Arabidopsis thaliana: one gene and its partners. The protein of the gene in region 1 interacts with the protein of each later gene in a pairwise test. Each region holds a gene or a part of one and is shown in the gene's direction. Other genes may lie near its edges. The genes, in order: AT5G24000, GONST5 and AT5G25940.

Region 1 (5,193 bases):
AACGATATCGCAGAAATGCAAACGAACCAAATGAAGAACTCGTTTCTCATCAACCTGAAACCCCCAACTAATGTTAAACCTTGCCTGCAACTCCTGATTATCTCGATCCATCTCCTGAGCAGTCATATAAACATTATCCGGAGCAATCTCTCTCGTGGCACCACCGTTTTGATAATTCGGAGAATGAGTAGTCCAAGCACGTCTAGCAGCAGCTCTCAAGAGAAGATAGTTGTCATCAACAACCCAAGTCCTCCACAACGTATCATTAAACGGCGTCAATTTCGAACCACCAACGTTGATTCTATGAACAGTCTCAAGAACTTGAGATGACAAGTTACTAAAGATTTGAGCAGAGTTAGGAATCACAAGCTTCGTTCCTTGATCCATTATATAATCCTTAGGTGCTGAAAACACTTCAACCGCATTAACAAACCCAAATCCAGAAGCTTTAAAGGGCAAAAACGAAATCTCTAAAACAGGGTCATCGATTTTGAGTATGAATTCTTTAACAACGACGGAGCTAGTACTGAAACTGTTAATCACAGAGAACCCATTAATCAAAACTCGAAATTTAGCAGACCTTAAGTTAAATCTCGAAGCTTTAAAAGGCGCGAAATGGAGACGGATAAAGTGAGTGCCTTTGGTAGTGACTTGGAATTTGTATGATCCTCCGACGGGGAAAACACGAGCTGTGTTGTACAAAACGGGTGAATCTGGAGATGGGTTCGTGTCAGAAATCGAGATGGATCGATCGGTGGAGAGAAAACTCGAGCCAGGTTCTGAAGAGTCGCTGAGAAAAGAACGGGTTGTGAAGAAAGATGTATTGGTGTTAGAACCGGAATTGATGAGATAATTATCAGTTGGAGTGAAAGCAGCGAAAGAGAGATGAAGAAGAGGGCAGAAGAAGAAGAGAAGGGTTTGGGTTAGATTTATTGGAAACGCCATTAGAGTGAAGCTTTTTTGGGGAAGGTTTGAGAAAGGTTTTGGTTTGATGATATTAAAGAGAAGAAGAGATGGAGAAACTAGAAAGTGGGTTTTTGCTGTCACTTCTCTGTATTCGTATTTTTTTCCCACTAAAGGTAAGTGAAAGAGAAAGTGTTTGTGAAATCATTAGGCAGCGAAGTTTGTCAACAGCAATGGGAAACCAAAGGAAGCTTAAACCTGATTTTGTTTGTGATTCGGTGGCAATCATTTTCAAAAAGTTTTGCTTTCTATTAAATATAGTTGATTTTCACTGATTTGGTAATTCTTAGTTAATCATTTGTGTACGCTATGAGTAGGGATGTTTGATTCATTTTTGAATTAGATAGAAACAGTTTTGAGATATAATTTGTGGTGTTACGGATTAACTCATCGTAGGTGGTGTGATTATTATGGTATTAATTGCGTAACTAACAAGGTTTGGACCGACACATTATTACAAAAAATAAATTAATTAGTGTATTGTAGGCAAGGTTTAATATTTCACTCATTAATTCCAATAGACCTAAACGATACTAATTTAATAATTAGAAGGAAATATAAGGAAGCATCTGTCACCAAATTAGAAGTACTCTTCTTCTTCTTTTTTTCTTCTTTTTTCTGAGTGTATGTAAAATTTTATTCATACAACAAACCTTGTTATAGTGAATGCATCCTTTTTAAAAAAGTTATAGAAAAAAAATTAGAAGTACTCTTTTTATGGGCATCCATGATCCATCATTTTATCAAAGTCTAGATTAACTTCTTTTTCTTGATAAACAAGAAGACAATAAAATACATGAAAACACTAAAAAGAAGAGAATTCCACCAAACGAAGCTAATCATAATTTTTTTTTACTATTTTTCTTTTTTCATACTATTCATTATATTTTCTTCTTATATATTTCGTCTTCCTATGTTATGTTACTTTCTTTATCGATTTTATTTATTTCTTATTTGTTATTTTTTTCGTATCAAGAAATAGATTACAAAAATAGAAAATAGAGTAAAGTTTTAGAAAAAAAATATTGTTAAATTTTATTTTAAACTTTTATCATATTCATTATGTGGTATATTAATATGCTTCTCGTCAATTTGATATCTCAATAAATTTGTTTAGCCGAATAAGGAAACAAAAAAAATAAGTTTCCAAAAGTATAATATGGGACTTCAAACATTAATTGGTGTATCTAAAAAGTGCAATGGCTCTTCTATTCACAGTGGTATCACCAAATCCACTGTCCCCCACAATCTCATCGCTCCACGTGTCTCCTTCCCGCCACCACTTATCATCATCAATAACCATACGCCGTAACAAATCGCCGCCGGTAACACTCACTCCACATCGTCTTGTTTCATCTCGACGCCGGCGCGTGAAGGTCTACTCACAACTACGATTCCCTCTAATCTCCCCAGACGATCACTGGTCACAATGGGCTGCTCTCTTCGCCGCCGGAGCTTTCGGTGTCTGGTAAATCACCTCAATCCTCTCTGTTGAAACTAGGGTTTTGTATACTGATGAAATTACCGACTTCATTAGGTCGGAGAAGACGAAAATTGGAAGTATGGTGAGTGGTGCGTTGACAAGTACGTTACTTGGGCTCGCCGCTAGCAATTTAAGGTTAATTCCGTTTGAAACGCCGTCGTATGGCTTCTTCATGGAGTTTCTCTTGCCGCATACGATTCCATTGTTGTTGTTTAGAGCTGATCTCCGTCGTATTATCCGATCTACTGGATCATTGCTTCTTGCATTCTTAATTGGATCTGGTAAAGATTTAGTCTTTTGCTTAAAGGCAAGTTTTTGGATTGGGATTAGTTTGGATTCATGCTTAAGACTAACAAAAGTTTATGTCTTTGAGTGGTTTTAGTTAAAAAGATTGATTGTGAAGTGACATTGTTATTGATGATGTGTTGAGTGGTTTATTAATTTGTGAGTTGGTTTGTTGTAGTTGCGACGATTGTTGGAACAGTGGTGGCTTTTATGTTGGTACCGATGAGATCGCTTGGTCCGGATAACTGGAAAATAGCAGCTGCTCTTATGGGGAGTTACATTGGTGGATGTAAGTTTGTCTGGAGCCCCTTCATTGCTTCTTTGGCTTGTTTACAGACAGAGGTACTCAATGTTTATCTTCTTTAGCCGAAAAGATTCTAGCTTTGCTTGATTTTCGTTTATCGAAAAAAGAGGAAAATCTTGCTAAATTGGCTTGTAAGATGTTTATCACAACTTGGGAATGGATTCTTCAAGAGGAATGAGAATAAAATTGTTGGTTCTTGTTTTTTGTTCTGCAGCCCTTAATTTTGTTGCGATATCGGAGGCTCTACAGATATCTCCATCTGTTATAGCAGCGGGTGTAGCTGTGGATAATGTCATATGTGCTCTTCACTTCATGGTTTTGTTTGCGTTGGCCTCAAAGATACCCCCTGAGACCGCCTCAGCATCTTCCCCTGGTAAACTTCCATCTTGATCACATTTTGTATATATAAGGTATGTAAGTATGTTGCAATGTGAGAGGATTACTAAAGAACTTATGGCGAATAGTCGGACCAACTAAGGATTTGGTGACTCTAGGGCTACTTGGTTAGTTGTCAAATTGATTTGAGTGAATGTTGGTAAAGATAGTTATTATTAATACATATAATGTGCCTATCAAATTAAGACTTGATAATAAGTTTTCAATACTTTTGAGTTTTGACATTATTACATAACGTTTCTCATCTTCTAACTGCATTTGCATCCACATATAAACACTACTATTCAAGTTTTTGTGATCTTTGGCAGATGCTGACATGACTAAGGATGACAAGCTCGAGGACAAGAACAGAGTGGTTTCAACTTCAATTGCACTATCAGTTTCCTTCCTGATATGCAAAGCTGCAATTACGTTGACGACGCTATTTAAGATACAAGGAGTTATGCTTCCTGCAGTAACAGCCATCACCATTGTCTTGGCAACATCCTTCCCTGATTTCTTCAACTCTCTGGCACCTTCTGCTGAAACCATCTCTCTCATTCTCATGCAGGTATCTCTTTCTTTACACTTTATCCATTATTTAGAACCAATTAGACATGTCATTGGCAAAATGGGCTATGTCTGACCCGTTTTGAGCCCTTATTCTCATTGTTAAAGCCCATCCCTGATTAAGCCCGAGGACTTCAGACCATGGTTTGTTTTTGAATCTTTTTTGTTCAGGTATTTTTCACAATTCTAGGAGCCACAGGGAGTGTATGGAATGTAATCAACACTGCCCCAAGTATCTTCTTATTTGCTGCTATTCAAGTAATGGTTCATCTAGCAGTGACTTTGGTTCTAGGAAAACTATTCTGTATCGACATGAAGCTATTACTTCTTGCATCAAATGCTAACATCGGAGGCCCAACCACTGCGTGTGCCATGGCAACCGCAAAAGGATGGACTTCTCTTGTCGTCCCCGGGATTCTCTCTGGTGTTTTTGGGGTCTCCATAGCAACTTTTCTAGGCATTGGATGTGGAGTTTTTGTCCTCAAACGATTATAGATTTCTAAACAGTTCTAATGATTGGAGGATTCTGAAGCTAGACTTCTTGTAAATTGCTAATTGTTCTCAACAAATTTTAAATCTTTTTGTTTTCCAAATTATCAGTGTTTTCATACAAAACAAGCATTTATCTCATAAACAATAACCATTTTACATTGGTTTGCGAGCTTTACTTGTTCAAATATAAAATAAAATTTGTCTGTAGATTTTTTTTTAGTTGACTAATACTAATATACATCTAGTGGTACGGTTGATTGTACTATTGTACCGCTCTTTCAATACAAGTCAACCGTACTTGAGATCGTAATTTAAAAGTCAACTGTACTTTCCCATATCAATCTCAAAAGTCAACTCTACCATATTAATAAGATTCTATTGATTCCAAATATTTTGTAACCAAAAGTAGTGCTAGATTCATCCTTCTTTGTTTGATTTATCCTATGAAACTTAGATTAGCATGGTTGGAAATTTATGCGTTTACTTGCAACTTTCGATTCCAAAAACAAAATATGCAATGTACCTATCACATGCATGACTTAGATTTGAGGTCCGAACAAAGTCTTTAGTATGTGTTCGACACACCTGCTCTTTCCATAATATTGATATGGAGAGCCCAATTTAGCCAATAAAAGACATGGATAGTGTAATATGATATTTTTTTAATGCGGAGATAAAGTATATATTAGCTAAGAATAAGTAAAGATGTAGTACAACAAGT
Region 2 (3,985 bases), on another chromosome or scaffold:
GAAAGAAAGCTGAGAATATAGAGTTGTAAAAAAGAATTATGTAGGCATTTGAATTTAATAATTTTATGGAAAAAACTGAAGATGTTAAACAAATATGGATTTTATTTTTAAAATAAATACTTTCAATCAAATTATATTAGTCTTGAATTTATAGATTTTATGAAAAAAAAGTTTATTGTGTTTTCATGGAGGAAAATGACGATAAAGACAATATGAAAGAAAATTATGTTTACAAATGTACATATTTACCTGGGAGGAGTCATATTAAATGATCTAATCCGCCTTAGTGTATTGTATGTATCTAGAACCTCTTACTTATTCATAAACAAAAGTACATATTTTCCTTACGTTTTCTTATAAACAAATGTACATAATTTCCTACTTATATATATATATATATGTATTCAACTCAAAAATTATAGACAAAACAAAAGGATTACGTATTCTTTTTGTTCCTGATGAATCTTTCACCATATTTAAGAAAAACTATAGGTTTGAAAGAAAGAATGTACCCCGATGATCGCCAAAATATTTAAATCACATGAAAAATAACAATGTGATTTAGTTAGGCATTGAGTTTTTAGGATACTTTTGGTGGAATTGTTATTTTTCATTTTTAAAAAAGGAAAGATTTTTAGTGTCCAATGATAAATTCAATGATCTTAAAAAATTATGTACAGTGAAAGGTAATCATTCCTTGTTAACGGTATGTATTCTTTACCATGTCATGTGCATATTACGATTTTCGTAACAAAAACGTGGTCACGAATTTTAAGAAGAAAATGCCACTAAGATATGTGTTGTACAGGCTAATATTTTAAATATGAGCAATTAGTGTTACTATATTTATGCATAGCATGCAAATAGTTGTTTAGATGACCAAAACAGTATAATACATATAAGTTGTCCAGAAATCAATCGATATATTTGCCAAGAAAAAGAAACGAAAACAAGTTGACCTCCTAATAGTTAGTTACTTCTAAAATCAGCTAAAACTATTTTTACTATATAATCAACACAACATTCTCACCAAATCATCTTGTTTCAAAACCACAACAAAAAGAAAAAAGAAAGAAAAAAAACATTACAATTTAAGATTTTCAGACTCACAATACTTACGACATGGCAACTCAAGTGTCAAAGAAAATCTGCAGTGTATTGATGATTGTAATTTTATTTGCAATGATGTTTTCAGCTCATTCCAACTCGATAGATGTGTGTGTCAAAAATTGTGTCGTGAACCAGTGCATGAAAGCATCAAAGAAAGCGACTCCAGCCATATGTGCCAACCCTTGCAAGATTATATGTGATCCTCTCAACAACGAGCGATACATCGTCCCTCGAGGTAATGGTGGTCCTATAAAAAGGTTCTGCAGAGCATTTAGCTGGATTTGTACCGCTTAATTGATCCACATTACAAAAAATTTGTCTCCTTTCTCTATGCATAAGTTATATATTTATGATTTTTTGTATCAATGTATCGATCAATATTTCAAGTATTTATGTATCCTTCTTCCATAATTTTTTATCTTTAACAATATTTACTTGTATACGGAAAATTTGTTAAAAATCTAATTATTTATATTTATATATGTAACAACTGAAAATTGGTAACTTGTATAAGCATAATTTATGCTGCATAAACATATTTGCATTTAACTACACGGAAACTTACTAAAGAGAAAAAGAGAATTCTCGCATATAAAACAGAACCGTTACTCTGTTTCTCTTGGCGCTTTAATTAGGGTTTCTTATTTAGCTTTTGCATTGCCACATTCCTAAAGGTTTCATCTTTTGGATCCTTCTCTGACTCACTTCTTAAAACCCATCAATGGAGGAAGGAAGTCTGTGGCGTCAATGGACTATGTTCAGATCTCTGTTATCGATTCTTCAATGGTGGGGTTTTAACGTTACTGTTATCATCATGAACAAATGGATCTTTCAGGTTTAAAAAGTCTCTTACTTTTATCATTAAAGACTTAGCCTTTCGTTTGTTTTATCTGATCTGCGTTTGAAATTTGGTACCTTTCCTTGTTTGCAGAAACTGGATTTCAAGTTTCCATTATCAGTTTCATGTGTTCATTTCATATGTTCGTCGATTGGAGCATACATTGTGATTAAAGTCTTAAAGCTTAAACCTTTGATTGTGGTTGATCCAGAAGATAGGTGGAGGAGGATTTTTCCAATGTCATTTGTGTTCTGTATCAACATTGTGTTGGGGAATATTAGTCTTAGATACATTCCTGTCTCTTTTATGCAGACTATCAAATCTTTAACTCCTGCAACAACAGGTTTAGGGTTTTTTTAAGATTGAGAATTTTTCAAAATAAAGTGATTTTTTTTTATTGTTCTGATTGGTTTTTGTGTAATGGTTTTTTGAGTGCAGTTGTGTTACAGTGGTTGGTATGGAGGAAATATTTTGATTGGCGTATTTGGGCGTCATTGGTGCCTATTGTTGGAGGGATTCTTCTTACTTCTATTACAGAACTTAGCTTTAATGTGTTTGGATTCTGTGCTGCTTTGTTTGGATGTTTAGCTACCTCTACAAAGACCATTCTTGCAGAATCTCTTCTTCATGGATACAAATTTGACAGGTCAATGTTCTGTTTCCTGAGGTTTTGATCTTCAGTTTCACATGATAGGTGTTGAATGTGTGAAACTTACATTTGGTTTCAATGACATGCCATGCTCTCATAGTCCAATACTTGATTTGCTTTTTCATATTTCATGGAACTGAGTGTTTGTGTCCTCCTCATTTTCATGTCTCTCTATGTAGCATAAACACGGTATACTATATGGCGCCTTTCGCGACCATGATTCTCGGGTTACCTGCATTTTTACTAGAAAGGAATGGAATTTTGGATTGGTTTGAAGCACATCCATCTCCATGGTCGGCTCTCATAATTCTTTTCAACTCAGGTGTTCTAGCTTTCTGTCTTAACTTCTCCATCTTCTATGTCATTCAATCCACAACAGCAGTCACATTCAATGTAGCTGGAAACCTTAAGGTAAATGAACAAATCCCAAACCACATAACATTAATCTTTATATTCTAGTTTCAATAACTCAGATGTTTGATGGATGGTATGTGATTTGCAGGTTGCAGTAGCTGTGTTTGTTTCATGGATGATATTTCGAAACCCGATATCACCGATGAATGCTGTTGGCTGCGGAATCACACTTGTGGGCTGCACCTTTTACGGATATGTAAGACACATGCTTTCTCAGCAACAACCCGGAACTCCTAGGACTCCTCGTACCCCAAGGAACAAGATGGAACTGATCCCTCTTGTTAATGATAAACTCGAGAGTAAAATTTGAATATCATCGGTAAGTCACTAGACTATTGAACGCACACAAAGAAGTTAGATTTGATCTTGAACATCCACAAGAGAGTTATAGTTTAACTATATGTTTATTTTTACTCAAACTAGAGAAGTTAGAGAAGTGCCATTTTATTTGTTTCCATTGTATTAAATTATCTATCCTCATCAAACCAACTCAGAGATGACCACAAAGATACTTAAAGCAGGCCCATTTTTGTATTCAATTATGGTAGTGCTTTCACTTACCTCAGCTTTTTAATTTTTCCTTCCAATTTTGTTTGTGCCATAGTGCCATGTTCTAACATCAGAGACTTAATACATGACAAAATGGTGCAAGTTTGGGAATCTTTGAAAGAAGATGAAAATAGAAAGTTAATTTGACAATATATAAGAAATGATTATTCATTTTCCCGCCTTGATACATGAAAGAGCTTAAGACGGTGTTTAAGGGAAACGAATATTTTAGCTCTCAAAACAGCTCATCAAATTCGTTGCTTTAGCTTCTCAAAAGTAAAAAATGGGCTTTTTCAAGTGGGCCTCAACTTATGTTGCTGAATTTACCGCCATATCCTTCCCTTACAAAAAATCAATTTTCAAAAAATCTTCATGCTACAGTAGTCTGAAACCAGGTCAAAGGAGTTAAAGAGAAAAGGGCAAAA
Region 3 (3,419 bases), 940 kb from region 1:
CATTGAAAATGTTCTCAACTTGTTTTTATAGGAGGCAATACTTCTTGCGGTAGGGTTCAATTATATTGGTGCTCAATCAGGGAATTGTCCGATGCCATTTTCCAGTGGAATTTGATAGAAAATTTAAAATTAAGCATCAAAAAGTTGTCTGATGGCATTCATCGGAGTTGTCTTGAATCACCATTTTTCCGTTTCATCTCCTAACGTCTGTTTTTCACTTAAAAAGTCTCCAATTCCAGTATAACTTCGTAAAACTTGTACAAAACAACCGAAAAATACATTAAAAACGAACAAAAATGTGACAAACAACTCAAAACAAACACTAGACAAAGGACATAAGACACTAAAAACACAATATACCACATACAATTTTGGAGACACCCGCACACCGCTCTTCACCTCTTGGACTGTCAGTAACATTATGACATGACTATAGACATTACATTCACTTTCATGAAATTTACAACTACTCTTTGGATTTGGGTTGCAGAAAGATGCATACAGTAAAACAGCTCCATCAACCTCTTATGCTCATGTTTCATGCACATAAGTACTCAATTAGCCATAGGTGGAAGCTTAGACCCTGTTTCGACTTTCGAGTAGCTCGGATATATATGCATTATATCACATATCCCTTAGCACCATATTTTCTAATTTAATTTACAATATCACTCATTGCCACAAGTGTATAAAAACCATAGCAATAGAAGGGTATCAAAGTTCAAGTAACCAATTAAATTAGAACACTAGAAATACATTCTATCATCCAATCTAAGCAATCAAGTTAAATCATTAGAACAATATTGAACTACCGCCGAAGTAAGATCTCGTCTACCGGAGATATTGTCAGATTCTTGCCTCCGTTTTGTATTTGTTGTTTTGATTTGTAAAACTTTGGCTCAAGTCCAATTCAGGTATTATAATATTTTTAAAAAAAGAATATTGAACTATTAATAAAATCTTAACATTTTCTGTTGGTCCCTAGTACTTTTGATGGGCTCTCTATATCTTCGCTTTTGTATGTTTGAAGCATTAAGGCCGAATTCATTTAAAACTCAACTTCTATACCAAAAATTTTATTTTAAATTTTATGTAATTAAAATAAACTAACCAATTTTTTAAAAATTACTATTTTAATCACATATAAAATTAAGTTTTAATTTATCTTTCTATACAAAAATATCATCATTAATGAAATTAACTAATTTATTATATTTTTTTAATCATTTTTTCACTTATAAATTTTATCTAAAACTGAATCGATTAATTTCTTATATCTCTAAAGATATCCGTATGGTAACAAAATTGACTCCAAACATTTCTTAAGTCGATTTCTAAAACCGCTCCAAAAGACCATTGTGCATTAAAAATACTAAAAATCTAAAATTTAAAATATTCTCAATAACAAACATTTACGAACCACTGAATTTTATTTTATTTTAAAAATAATCTATAACATAATAATTGTTTTATCTGTTTTCTAACACAAATTATTCTAAATACATGATTGAAATACATTTCTAAATTGGCGTTTTATAGACTATAGTATTTTGACAACTTTGTTTTCAATATTGGCGTTTCATTATTTTGGTGAAAGATTCCCAACTTATAAAAAAAAAAAACGAATTTTTAATTTTCGTCCTAATCATTTATTTCCTAACCAAAGAAAAAGGCAAATCGCGACCCGTCTCTCTCTCTCTCTCTCTCCTTGAAATCGAAAGATCAAAAAAGCGACACTGAAAATGGAAAATCGGTCAGAAATGGGTAACCGGAGGCAGCAGAATCTCTTCGTCATAGCTTCTCCCGACGAGATTGCTAAGATCCATCGAGCCGAAACTTCCAAACAAGGTCTCTTCTTCTTTCTCCGTCTCTCTCTCTCTTTTTTCCCCTAAAAAAAATCTTTTAAATTGATGACTTTGGATTATGTTACAGCCGGAGCTATTGCCGGAGCTAAGGCCGCCGCCGTTGCCGCCGTCGCCAGTGCGATTCCCACAGTAATCATATAATCTCACTTATCTAAATTTTTTAAATTGAGATCTTAAATGAATTAAATGTAAGAGTTATGTTTCTTTGTTGTTGAATTTTAAGACAAAAGTGACTCACCAATCTCATGTTCTGTAATAATCAAGAGTTTCAATTTTGTTACCTATTCATTTTGTGATTTCTGAATACACCAAGTAGAGTCACATTCTTTTTGATGTGTATATAAGATATGAATTTGGTACATAAGCATGCCTTGTTTTCGTAACAGGTAGCTGCCGTTCGTATGTTCCCGTGGGCTAAGGCAAACCTCAACTACACTGCTCAAGCACTCATTATTTCTTCAGGTTAGCTCTATCAGCAATATGCCTTAAATCATTACTATATGTTCTTCCTGGAACTAAGTAGAAAAAAGATACTAGCTTTAACATTGTTGTAGAAACCTCGAACTTCCCTTTTGAACCTAGTTGAGTTTGGGGTTTTTAAGTATTCGTACATTCATTTCTCCACAATTTTCTTCTGATTTCTATCTTGTGATTATGGTGATCATTGGAACAGCTTCTATCGCTGCGTTCTTCATAACCGCGGATAAAACGATTCTACAAGGCGCAAGAAGAAACACCGAGGCTCAGTTAAAGAAAGTTCAGCAAGACTCTAAATAATTTCTCTTCTTATTGTAACACAAATCAATCATCATCTTTCTCTGTTTTGTATGCATATTTTGCCTTGATTCTTAATAAGAGTGTTATTATTATAAGGAATAACAAATTCTTTAAGACCATTTTTTATTCAGACTTTCAGATTTTGTTCTCAAATAAGTTACAAGCTGGTAGTTATACTCTTAACTAAAACTTTGCTTACACAAAAACTAAATGGTTTCTAATACATTTGTACATTTCACAAAAAAAACAACATCAAGTGTTGTGATTATTTGATTATACAAAACCTAAATCTTCATCTTCTACCCTTTTACTTGTCCTTCGACCCGATAAACTAACTAGTAGAGGTGCCTCATATGCCTCTGTTGCAGTCTTCTTCGTCGCCTCAAGTCCTTGTTGGCGCAGAACATACAAGACCTCTTTCATGGAAGGTCTATGACTAGGCAATGTGTTAGTACACATGAGACCTAGCTTGAAAACTGTTGTCATCGCCTCAGTCGTGGAAGCTTCTTTGATGTCCTCATCAAACGCCTCTGCGGTCGGTTTTCCAGATTGGTAATGTTTCCATGACCAATCTGCTAAGTTTGTGTGTTCATCTCCGTTGTTTCCTTCTCTTCCAGTCACCAGCTCTAGCAAAACTACCCCGAAGCTGTACACATCGATCTTCTCATCTACCTTTGACGTATATGCGTATTCTGCAACATAAAAATATTAGAGATCACACAATGAGCGACTCTATTCGACTCTAAAGAATGTTTTTTGTTTACGGGTATTACCTGG

What was found.
Region 2: the proteins of AT5G24000 (region 1) and GONST5 interact in a protein complementation assay, tested with the Arabidopsis thaliana proteins (one large-scale study listed by BioGRID).
Region 3: the proteins of AT5G24000 (region 1) and AT5G25940 interact in a protein complementation assay, tested with the Arabidopsis thaliana proteins (one large-scale study listed by BioGRID).

Annotation. Positions count from the first base shown.
Region 1 is NC_003076.8:8,109,662-8,114,854, reverse strand, and holds AT5G24000 (keratin-associated protein (DUF819)), read left to right. Parts: upstream 1-2,079; 5' UTR 2,080-2,162; coding exon 2,163-2,431; intron 2,432-2,500; coding exon 2,501-2,727; intron 2,728-2,909; coding exon 2,910-3,020; intron 3,021-3,249; coding exon 3,250-3,408; intron 3,409-3,739; coding exon 3,740-3,981; intron 3,982-4,151; coding exon 4,152-4,475; 3' UTR 4,476-4,670; downstream 4,671-5,193. Other genes in the region: AT5G24010 (Protein kinase superfamily protein), read right to left, coding at 1-945.
Region 2 is NC_003070.9:7,676,377-7,680,361, forward strand, and holds GONST5 (golgi nucleotide sugar transporter 5), read left to right. Parts: upstream 1-1,831; coding exon 1,832-1,945; intron 1,946-2,041; coding exon 2,042-2,291; intron 2,292-2,386; coding exon 2,387-2,594; intron 2,595-2,776; coding exon 2,777-3,008; intron 3,009-3,099; coding exon 3,100-3,321; 3' UTR 3,322-3,467; downstream 3,468-3,985. Other genes in the region: AT1G21866 (Plant thionin family protein), read left to right, coding at 1,123-1,404. UniProt on the Arabidopsis thaliana protein: GDP-mannose transporter that may be involved in the import of GDP-mannose from the cytoplasm into the Golgi lumen.
Region 3 is NC_003076.8:9,053,475-9,056,893, reverse strand, and holds AT5G25940 (early nodulin-like protein), read left to right. Parts: upstream 1-1,638; 5' UTR 1,639-1,742; coding exon 1,743-1,848; intron 1,849-1,932; coding exon 1,933-1,994; intron 1,995-2,251; coding exon 2,252-2,327; exon of another isoform or gene 2,328-2,538; coding exon 2,539-2,642; 3' UTR 2,643-2,772; downstream 2,773-3,419. Other genes in the region: AT5G25930 (kinase family with leucine-rich repeat domain-containing protein), read right to left, coding at 2,916-3,334, 3,416-3,419.